3 linked regions of the Arabidopsis thaliana genome follow. The protein of the gene in region 1 interacts with the protein of each later gene in a pairwise test. Each region holds a gene or a part of one and is shown in the gene's direction. Other genes may lie near its edges.

Region 1 (3,759 bases):
TAATTGAGATGCGTGAAAAAACATGAAAGCAAGAATCTCTAGAGACACAGGGATTCCAACTTGTATTATTTAAAGGCTTTTCTTTTTTCCTTGGATCAGTTTGTTTAGCACAAACTAATATGAGATGGAAAAAAAATATGTTTTGGAAACCGACATGTAGGGAATCAGATGCTACTTTTTCTGAACAAGACTCTTCTTCTCTTTTAGAAGAATTGTGATTGATGTTGATGTTTAAGATGATGTATGATCATTTTATTAACAAACCAACAAAAAAGGGATGATGTATGTATTATCATGATACATGATACATGTCAACATGTATATCGTATGTATGTATTATCATGATTCCCCCATAGAGTCCCGCCTTTGCCAATTTCGTCATGGATATATATACACGTAAAGTTTGTTTACTATTCATTTAATAATGTCACTATTGTGTTACGTCTAATTAATTAATGTTTATTTGATACTCTAGATATCAATACTATAAGCTTGAGAAAGAGTATAGGTACTTGATACATGTGAAATGGAAATATAAAAGGGTTGATAAGATAAGATGCTTAGATCTTAATTAGCTTTATTCGCTTCCCCTTAGATCGTATCAAAGGTTGCATGTCTTTAGTTAGGCTTGCATGTTAGCTTCCTCGTTGTCTTTATTAATTAATTAATCCACATTCCTTTTGCATTTGTGATACAACATTTATATATATAGTCACATTTTTTTTTATATATAGTACTCACATTAATTACTTGTTCATATAGACTTAGACTCGATTTGTGACCAAGAAAAACAAAGTGGTGAAACAATTGGGGCATGTCTTGTTGTTGTCGTTTGATAAGTTAAACTGTTAAAGCATCTTTCGCCAAAATATTTTTCAGTTGCTATCTTTTGTTTTTTGTATCTGTCACTCTCTCTCTCTCTCCCTAAGTTATTGGTGACCACATCTTAAAGCTTCCCTAAAATGTTATTGTTATTTCTTTCTCACGGAAAAGGGAGAGTTACTTACTTGAAGTTTGAATATTATACTTTATAAGAATGGAGGAGTTTTATATATGTCGCAACTTGTGGACTCCCTCAGTATTTGATCATTTCCTTACATAAAACGTTTGATTACTTCATTCTGTTAAATTCCGTTTACAATGTTCTTCGTCTACATGTGAATTATATATATTAGCAAACGAAAAAAAACCATGTAAACGAGACATCTAATATATGACATGAGTTATATATATCATACATGTGAAGAATGAAGATGTCCTTATTTTTTTAATTTATCTTTTGGATCGAGGCCGAGAGTCGAGGCAAAAGAGATTTGACCGGAAGTTAGTAAAATTGAAGGGCCGAGAGAAAGAGAGTCAAAGATTGTGTGGGAGTAATGATGTAAAAGAGCCGAACAACGTCTTTAATCCATATGTAAAAGGGACTAAAGAAGCCTCCCAACACTAAAGCCAAAGTCGACTTGGATGCCTCCTGCTTTTTTATTCTCCCATTTTTTAATCATATATATGAATTCAATTTATAAGTATTCTTATTATAAGACCATAACAACATAAAACAATATAACAAAACTGTCAAACCGAAAAAAAAAGAAAAGAAAAAGCCGAGTGTTTAGGTGTCGCCAGGTAGATTTGGTTTGAGAAGAAGAGATGGGTCCCCTAAACTGTTGAATCATAAAAAGCCTTCATTTTTGGTTTAAAGCAAACGTTATAAAAATCCCTCTATAATGATTCATGACCCACGTTAAGGTCTAACCGGAATTATAAGCATATACATTCATATATGTGAGTATTTGTGAGATGGGGCCTTCTTGCTAAAGCTTTTTCCGTCTCTCCTCCTACTAGGGTTTTCACACTTGCAGAATCTTCAAAAGCCAGAGTTAGGTTTTTATTTAAAATATATATATTGGTTTTAGAAAATATGTGTGATGAGTATCATGACAAACACTGACCAAAAAGCAACCCAAAGTAAGACAAAATATTAATCTCAGAAGATGCCAATCCCATGGCATACTTTTACACATTCCCATATCATATCTTCTTCAGAGTCTCATCTTTTTAATTATATATAGTCACCTTCATATGTCGTACGAACATCCTAATCACTTTAATTAATCTCTCTCATCTCTTTCTCTCTCGTTTTCTAACGCATACACTTTGAATGGCGCCCATGAGTTTGCCTCCAGGATTCAGGTTTCATCCCACTGATGAAGAACTGGTGGCTTACTATCTTGATAGGAAGGTCAACGGCCAAGCCATTGAGCTCGAGATCATCCCAGAAGTTGATCTTTATAAATGCGAGCCATGGGACTTGCCTGGTACGATCCAACTCTTTATATCTCTCTCTATATATGGTTCAGCTTGTTTATGTCAATCTGACGTTATAGATTACATATATTGGTCATGATGCATTCATACATATGATATTGGAGGTTTTATGAGTTATTTATTTGGATAATACGCGGAACAGAAAAGTCATTTTTGCCGGGAAACGACATGGAATGGTACTTTTACAGCACAAGGGATAAGAAGTATCCAAATGGCTCTAGGACGAACCGTGCGACCCGAGCGGGTTACTGGAAGGCCACGGGGAAAGATCGTACAGTAGAATCAAAGAAGATGAAGATGGGAATGAAGAAGACACTGGTTTATTATAGAGGAAGGGCTCCTCATGGCCTTCGTACTAATTGGGTCATGCATGAATATCGTCTCACGCACGCTCCTTCCTCCTCCTTGAAGGTAAATTATTTCCCATGCACAAACTTCTATTAACATATATATCTATATTCATTTCTGATCTAATTTTTTTTTTTTTGATAAACCATATCGACTAATATTAATGTTGATCTAAAACAGGAGTCGTATGCATTGTGCCGAGTGTTTAAGAAGAACATACAAATTCCAAAGAGAAAAGGGGAAGAAGAAGAAGCAGAAGAAGAGAGCACTAGTGTAGGAAAAGAAGAGGAAGAAGAAAAGGAGAAGAAGTGGAGAAAATGTGATGGTAATTATATTGAAGACGAGAGCTTGAAAAGAGCATCCGCGGAGACATCTTCATCAGAGCTAACTCAAGGGGTCCTTTTAGACGAAGCAAACAGCTCATCCATATTTGCTCTTCATTTCTCATCTTCTCTTCTGGACGATCATGATCATCTTTTCTCAAACTATTCTCATCAGCTTCCATATCATCCTCCTCTTCAACTCCAAGATTTCCCTCAACTTTCTATGAACGAAGCAGAGATTATGTCAATCCAACAAGACTTTCAATGCAGAGACTCTATGAACGGGACACTTGACGAAATCTTCTCTTCTTCCGCCACTTTCCCCGCTTCCCTTTGATAAATCCATATCTCATACTATCATCTAGTACTTCTTTTCTCAACTTATTTAAATATACTCGGGTACTTCATATATAGTATTTTTTTTTTTACTTGTTTTTTGCTTATGAATTAGTTTGACTGGTGAAAAAGGGTGAGGAGGTTTGTGGAATTATTTTTTCTACCACAAAAAGAAATTGCATTATTTTATTTTAATTTTTATCATTAGGTGTGTATGGTACTTAATCACTAGAGTTGGTTGGTTTTGTCATATATAGGAGGGAAAACGGAAGTAAAAATTGTGTAATCGATCGACATTACTTATTGGTTTGCATACTTGTAGACTTAAAATCTGGCATGGGCGTCATGGCAACGCAAATTTGGAAAACTTTTCGGATTATATATGTCCGACTGCGGATCAATATCTTATTTAACTATATATATGTGT
Region 2 (3,759 bases), on another chromosome or scaffold:
ACTTGTCTTGTTTCAATCCTTATATGATTTGTTTCTCCTAAAGTAATCATTCTACAAAAAAAAACTTTATATCAATTTCCACTAATTAACCTAGATTACCACTTATGATTAAACTTAAGGAATCATTTTAATAATGCCCTAAATGTGGCCAAGTCATTGGTTTATATGGCAAGTGACTTTGTGATCCCAATAATTTTTTGGTCTAGTCGTCTAGGCAACTAGCGTACCTTTGTTTTAGAAAAATTCTAGAGTTTCATTGTAAATCAATGGATACGTATGGATGGGTACAAACTAGAAAAGATAATCAATCCATTGGGCATTTCTTCCATAGAAAATAAAGTGGCTTTAAACGGATGGGAGGGGGCATAAAACATAATCAAGCATTAATAGCCATTTAAATTAATGATTAAAAACGAATGATGCGATTTTGGAGATAGACTTTGAGTGGTAAACAAGGGCAAATGAAAAAAAAAACTTGGGAATTTTATTTGGTGTTAGTGGTAGGGGCATCATTTCATTTCACAATCTACCCTTTAGGGGTTTTAAGGGTTCCCTTTAATGCAAAGTATTGCATTAAGTACGTAGCTAAACATTTATACGACTGAGTCAAGATTTCTAATAAAACAAAAAACAAATTCTATGCGTAAGATGAAATTCTATATTCAAACAGAAATGGTATTTACGGTATCGATGTCTCTTGGTTTTTATTTTATTGGCTTTAGTTTCATGTCCTCTTACTAGCAAGCTTGAACAAAACATTGGCATTGGTTCTCTTTCTCCATCTCAAAGAACATTATGGTTTAATCTTGATTTGATTTATACATGTTTACCCTTAGTCATGTGTGTTTCATAAATCATATCTCCATTTTGGATTTGATCTATTTCATAGAAAACTTTGCTCTATAGTTCTAGAGCTCTAGAGTTTCTCTTTCTACTTGTCAAAAATCATAAACCTTAACATGTAGTAGTGATATCTCTGTTTTTCTTTTCTTCTTACAAACCTTAAACAACAAACTTTTTTTTATCATGATTTTTTTTCTTATTTTTAAACCCTCAAAAGTGAATATATTGATATATCTATCTCTACTCGTCAGCAAGCTTTCCTCATGCTTCTCTCGTCATTCATTTGCTTTTTCATAATGATGTTGTCTTATTGTCTACATTGTTTTAAGGAACGGTTAGCTACGATTTGTTTATACATTTAAGTAGGCTCAGAATTATGCCAACAAAAGATAGTTTCAGAGTTTATTGCAACAAAAAATAGTTTACAAAAAGGGTCCCAAAACCCATTTAATCATTTAAATGATTTAGGGTACTGTTACTAATTATGATATGTGACTGTTGAAAACTTCTACAATGTTTATAGCATTTTTTGTAATGGAACTCCCAAAAACCCTGAGGGCTCTTAAAGATCACTAGGTTATTAAAGCAGAGACTCACTAATATTGTCATTATCTTAAGCTGACAAAAACGTAGAAAAATCCAAAAAAATAAATGGCGGAGGAAATTGACCAAAACGCATATATAAGGATTATGGAGTAAAAGCAACTTATGGTAGTTGGAGAGAAATTAACCAATAGAAATACTCAAAGGGCGCGTTTATTGCCATAATCTACGCCCCCTCCATATTTACACACAACCATATCATAATATTACCAAATATGAAAATTATATGTGCATTATCTTTATTACATAAACAATAAATACAGTTTATTATTAATATAAGAAAAAGATAATTTTTGATTTTATTTTTAGAGTGATCTTGGCCGTAGAAAATGAGGTGATGAAAGTGATGTGTCAAAAAAATCAGGAAATAGCCATATCAAGCATGTAATCCCTAATTACGGTCTAAAGGAATTAAAGATTACGGTCTACTTAAATTCAACATATCTACATGAACCTTATGAAAGGCTTAAGGGACGAAATTAAAATAAAATGATAACACAAGGGTCAATTTTATCTACAGTCACCAAATTAAAAATCAGATTAAGATACATTAAAAAGTCATTATCTCACAAAATAAATCTTTTCTTTGCTCTTTCATTTGTAGCTCCTCTCTCTCTCCGGCGCTAACGGGATGTCCTCACCATAACGCCGTTAAGTCTGGAACCCGTTTGAACGGAATTATCAAAACGGGAAGGAATATTCCGTTTGAATGGCTCTGGAACAGTTAGGATTAGGAGTGAGCGCCGTTGACGGTGGAGAGAACAGTAGCGCGCCGTCAAATGACGGTGGAGATGACGGCGTTAAGACGGCGAGACTTCCTCGTTGGACGAGACAAGAGATTCTGGTTCTGATTCAAGGGAAGAGAGTGGCGGAGAACAGAGTCCGGCGAGGGAGAGCGGCGGGTATGGCTCTCGGGTCGGGTCAAATGGAGCCTAAATGGGCTTCTGTTTCGTCTTACTGTAAACGTCACGGTGTAAATCGTGGGCCGGTTCAGTGCCGGAAAAGATGGAGCAATCTCGCCGGAGATTATAAGAAGATTAAAGAATGGGAGTCTCAGATTAAGGAAGAGACTGAGTCCTATTGGGTTATGAGGAATGATGTTCGTAGAGAGAAGAAGCTTCCTGGTTTTTTCGATAAGGAGGTTTATGATATTGTTGACGGTGGTGTGATTCCTCCGGCGGTTCCGGTTCTTTCGCTTGGATTGGCTCCGGCGTCAGACGAGGGATTGTTGTCTGATTTAGATCGGAGAGAAAGTCCTGAGAAGTTGAATTCTACTCCGGTGGCTAAATCAGTTACTGGTAAAATTCAGATCAAAGTTTAAGTTTTTATTTTGTATGTTCATCAGAATGATTCCATTTCTTATGAAGTTCAATTTTTTTGATGAAGATGTTATAGACAAAGAGAAGCAAGAAGCTTGTGTAGCAGATCAAGGTTTGTTTATCTCTCTGTGTGTATTTGCTTGATCTATTGCTCTATATGCTAATCTCAAACTAGTTTTAGAGCTCTAGAGTGTGTTTCTCTTGAGTCTTGACTATGTAGTTATGTTGTCATGTAGATAAATGATGTTTTCGTATTCTAAAATGCATCTCAAATTGTGTTATAAAAGTAGTTTAACAATCTTCCCTATGGTGTGTGATCTTTTCGTTTATGTTGAAGGGTCTCTATGTTCTTGTTTTTATACTAAAATGTTGAGTTTGAACTTGAAGGTAGAGTGAAAGAGAAACAGCCAGAAGCAGCAAACGTGGAAGGTGGATCGACATCACAAGAAGAGAGGAAGCGTAAACGGACATCTTTTGGTGAAAAGGAAGAGGAAGAAGAAGAAGGAGAAACAAAGAAGATGCAGAATCAGTTGATAGAGATACTAGAAAGAAACGGGCAGTTGTTGGCGGCACAGCTTGAGGTTCAGAATTTAAACTTAAAACTAGACAGAGAGCAAAGAAAAGATCACGGTGATAGCTTAGTCGCTGTTCTCAATAAGCTCGCTGATGCTGTGGCAAAAATCGCGGATAAGATGTAGATTTAGTAAAAGTTAGTTGTATATCACTTTGGCCATTACTTCTCATTCTTCTTCTTCCTTTTTTTTCAATCATTTATCACCATTGTTGATTGAATATTGATGCCACCACAAGAGGTTATTATACACATCTTATATAAACATTGAGATTTATACGGGTTTAGGATATCATTTGCCTTAGTGTTACCTTTTGACTGATTTGAACATCTTGATGTGTTGATGATTTGTTGCATAGCATGAAATTGAGTTTTCATCTTTCTTGCTTCCCCTAACAACAGGATTAATAACATAATATTAAA
Region 3 (3,759 bases), on another chromosome or scaffold:
CATCAAAAATAAAAATCATTTGTTTCTTATAATACGGGCCATACAAATATTGATTTGAAATTAGAACTAATAAATTGCCCGGTTTGAAAAATTGGAGACAGGAAAGACGACAATTTGCTAGCTTATACATTAATAAGAAAATGGTTAGCTACTTAATGTAATCTCTTCGAAATTTTATCATACTTGTGTTCGAGTAACGCTTATATATATGCGTATAACTATAGATAATGATAAAATATATTTCGTTATATCTTGAGTTGAAACTAAATTATTAATAAATATAAAATAAGAGAATAGAACAAATAGTGTCTTTTGACGGAAAAAAAATGCATGTTATTTTTTCAACGCCATGCAGCGTTACGTCACTGACGAAATTTGACAACTATCAACTATGTGAAGCATTTGACATTCGTATGTTGGCTGTAAAATGAAACAAGATGTAACAGGAATATGATAATAGCATTGGGACATAAAAAAAGGATTAATTTCCTTAATAACAAAGTCAATAGTTGACAAAATCATATAATTACCGTGTGTGACCTGCGTATTGACCAGTATACGCACCCTTTGGCCTACCATATGAACAAGGTTTACATATATAACAATAATCAAATGCTTAATACTGTTTTCCTTTCTCTTGTTGCATGATTTGACTTTTAGATTTGTTTCTTAATGACTTATTGTTGAATTATACTCGAAACTTTTACAGAACAAAAACGTTAGAAACCCTAAATAATGAAGTAACGGAACTTAAGATACGATAAAATGGCAATTTTTGTCACTAAAATGGTAAGAGCAAAATCATTTCGATTATCAATCAGAAATTTTATCACACATGGATTAATTCAATGTTATGTCTATGGATGTATAAACTTGTAGATATTTGGAATATAAAACATGTTTTTGATGAGGGAGGACTAATAAATACACTCGATAAAGAAACAATATTAAGTTTTAGAGAGTTGACGAATGCTCATTTGATGTGAGGCCAATAGATAGAAGAAGTCTTCTCCCATGAAGCTTCAAGGACATATCCTTTCACATTATAGAATCTCTATTTGACGCCGTACATTTAGGCTCTTTCTTGTAAGTATTGGTTTCATTTAATGCATTTGGACATTTAAATAATACTCTGATCTGATAACCAAGATCCATATAGACTTTACCTACACTTTCACTTAATGAGAAGGAAGTTTATACTTTCTGTTATATTCATCACAGTTTCATCATGTTAAAAGTTCTTCATTAGATTTAATTTAAATATTATTGGATTCACGTATATATGGTTATAAATATTTGATTTTATTTGTGTTATATGTTTTTTAACAAAATACCAGTAAGGAATTCTATTAAGTTTGATCATTCGTTTTCGATGTACTAGTTGTAATATTTTTTTTAATTGACCCTATTTAAACGGAGAAGTAGTATTATTACCAACAAAGTCAGGAAATAATTTCTTTTTTCGCTAGTTAGTTTAAAATAAATAACACAGATATGATTGGAGGAAAAGGTACTGAAATTCAATAAAAATGAAATAAAAAAATTGAACATGTTGAAGTGTTGACGCTTTGGGTCCCCTCGAAGAAACTACACACAAACACAAATGGCTATAAGTAAAGGGTTTGATAATATGTTTCTGAAGGAAAAAAACAGACAACAAAAAGAAAAGAAAATCCAAACAAGAAGAAGAAGACGAAAATCTTCTGATATTTCTGACAATGGAGGTTCTTTTGAAATTACCCTCTTCAGAGTCTCCTCTTAAGGATAAATTTGGATCTGTTCAAATCCATGAAGCTAATAAGGTAAATACCAACTCTATATGTGCATATACAAAATTATACATGTATATGGAAATAATTTAGATCACAAAACCAGAAAACTGACCGTTCTTATTCTTTATCGGTGTGTTTTATGCTTTAACGTAATTCTTGTATCCTGAGATGTCTCTTCCACTCTATAATGGCCTCTCTCTTTTTTCTTATTATCGTAATTGGTTTAAAAAGAAAAACTCAAAACTCTACCATGTTCATTTTTTTTATGGAAACGGGAAGATTATATTAGTTATCTATCTAGAAATATTGAATAATTCGTTAGAATTAAGAATGGAAGTATGATGTGTTAGAAACTTAGAATAAAGAACATTTTTAGATTTAGTTGAGAAATTAATCAACTTTTTTATTCAATGATATTAATCAGGGTGATGGTGATCATCAAGAACTTGAATCTGCCAAGGCAGAGATGAGCGAGGTGAAGGAAGAGAACGAGAAGCTTAAAGGAATGCTCGAACGAATTGAAAGTGATTACAAATCTCTCAAGCTCAGATTCTTCGACATAATTCAACAAGAACCTTCAAACACCGCAACTAAAAATCAAAACATGGTTGATCATCCCAAGCCAACGACGACGGATTTGAGTTCTTTTGACCAAGAACGCGAGCTTGTATCGCTTTCACTAGGGAGAAGAAGTTCTTCCCCAAGTGATAGCGTCCCCAAAAAGGAAGAGAAAACGGACGCAATCAGCGCAGAAGTCAACGCTGACGAAGAGTTGACTAAGGCCGGCTTGACCTTAGGGATCAATAATGGCAACGGAGGTGAACCGAAAGAGGGTTTATCTATGGAGAATCGTGCAAATTCTGGCTCGGAAGAAGCTTGGGCGCCAGGTAAAGTTACGGGGAAGAGAAGCTCTCCAGCACCAGCCTCCGGTGGCGATGCTGACGGTGAGGCCGGTCAACAAAACCATGTTAAGAGAGCTAGAGTTTGTGTTAGAGCAAGATGTGACACACCAACGGTACGTCCTTTAAATTATACATTAAATAAGTTGATCTATAACGTTAATTAAAAGATTTGATTATTTATATGTGACTAATGTTGATTCGGACATGTTTATTAATTATGTTGTATAGATGAATGATGGTTGTCAATGGAGAAAATATGGACAAAAGATTGCGAAAGGAAATCCATGTCCACGAGCATATTATCGCTGCACGGTTGCACCTGGATGTCCCGTTAGAAAACAGGTATATTTCGTATTCTATATAGTCTATTTAAGAATGGAATAAAAAATCGGTTTGAATTTTTCGTCTGGTTTTATTTTCATTTCCGTTTGAGTTGGATCTGATTTTAGTTGTTAAAATGTATCATTCAATTTAAACTGAACAACATAATTTAAGATAAAAATGTATCATTCAGTTTATTTTATTTTTTGCGTTTGCCTTTGCGTTTCCATGGTATTATAGAAAGTAAGAAACATTTGTGACCAGTGTACAAATAAAAAGAAACGATCTAACTATTTGTCCTCGATTATGTATGTTTTAGGTCCAAAGATGTGCAGATGACATGTCTATACTAATCACAACCTATGAAGGAACACACAGCCACTCTCTTCCACTCTCAGCCACCACCATGGCTTCCACCACATCAGCCGCTGCCTCCATGCTCCTCTCTGGCTCCTCCTCCTCACCAGCCGCTGAAATGATCGGAAATAACCTCTACGACAATTCAAGATTCAACAACAACAACAAATCCTTCTATTCACCCACCCTTCACTCCCCATTACATCCCACCGTCACTCTAGACCTCACTGCTCCACAACACTCTTCCTCGTCTTCTTCTTCATTGCTTTCTTTAAATTTCAACAAATTCTCGAACTCTTTCCAAAGATTCCCATCTACAAGCCTAAATTTCTCTTCTACTTCATCAACATCATCAAACCCGTCTACTCTCAACCTACCCGCGATTTGGGGTAATGGGTATTCTTCTT

What was found.
Region 2: the proteins of NAC020 (region 1) and AT2G33550 interact in a two-hybrid assay, tested with the Arabidopsis thaliana proteins (one large-scale study listed by BioGRID).
Region 3: the proteins of NAC020 (region 1) and WRKY72 interact in a two-hybrid assay, tested with the Arabidopsis thaliana proteins (one large-scale study listed by BioGRID).

Annotation. Positions count from the first base shown.
Region 1 is NC_003070.9:20,279,289-20,283,047, reverse strand, and holds NAC020 (NAC domain containing protein 20), read left to right. Parts: upstream 1-2,095; 5' UTR 2,096-2,158; coding exon 2,159-2,315; intron 2,316-2,467; coding exon 2,468-2,736; intron 2,737-2,853; coding exon 2,854-3,333; 3' UTR 3,334-3,541; downstream 3,542-3,759.
Region 2 is NC_003071.7:14,209,884-14,213,642, reverse strand, and holds AT2G33550 (Homeodomain-like superfamily protein), read left to right. Parts: upstream 1-1,949; 5' UTR 1,950-2,155; coding exon 2,156-2,744; intron 2,745-2,832; coding exon 2,833-2,877; intron 2,878-3,152; coding exon 3,153-3,463; 3' UTR 3,464-3,661; downstream 3,662-3,759. UniProt on the Arabidopsis thaliana protein: Transcriptional repressor that binds DNA and plays a negative role in regulating microbe-associated molecular patterns-(MAMPs, e.g. flg22, elf18, chitin, and LPS) triggered immunity (PTI) by negatively regulating immune gene expression.
Region 3 is NC_003076.8:4,902,708-4,906,466, forward strand, and holds the start of WRKY72 (WRKY DNA-binding protein 72), read left to right. Parts: upstream 1-1,582; 5' UTR 1,583-1,718; coding exon 1,719-1,802; intron 1,803-2,165; exon of another isoform or gene 2,166-2,196; coding exon 2,197-2,787; intron 2,788-2,902; coding exon 2,903-3,016; intron 3,017-3,314; coding exon 3,315-3,759.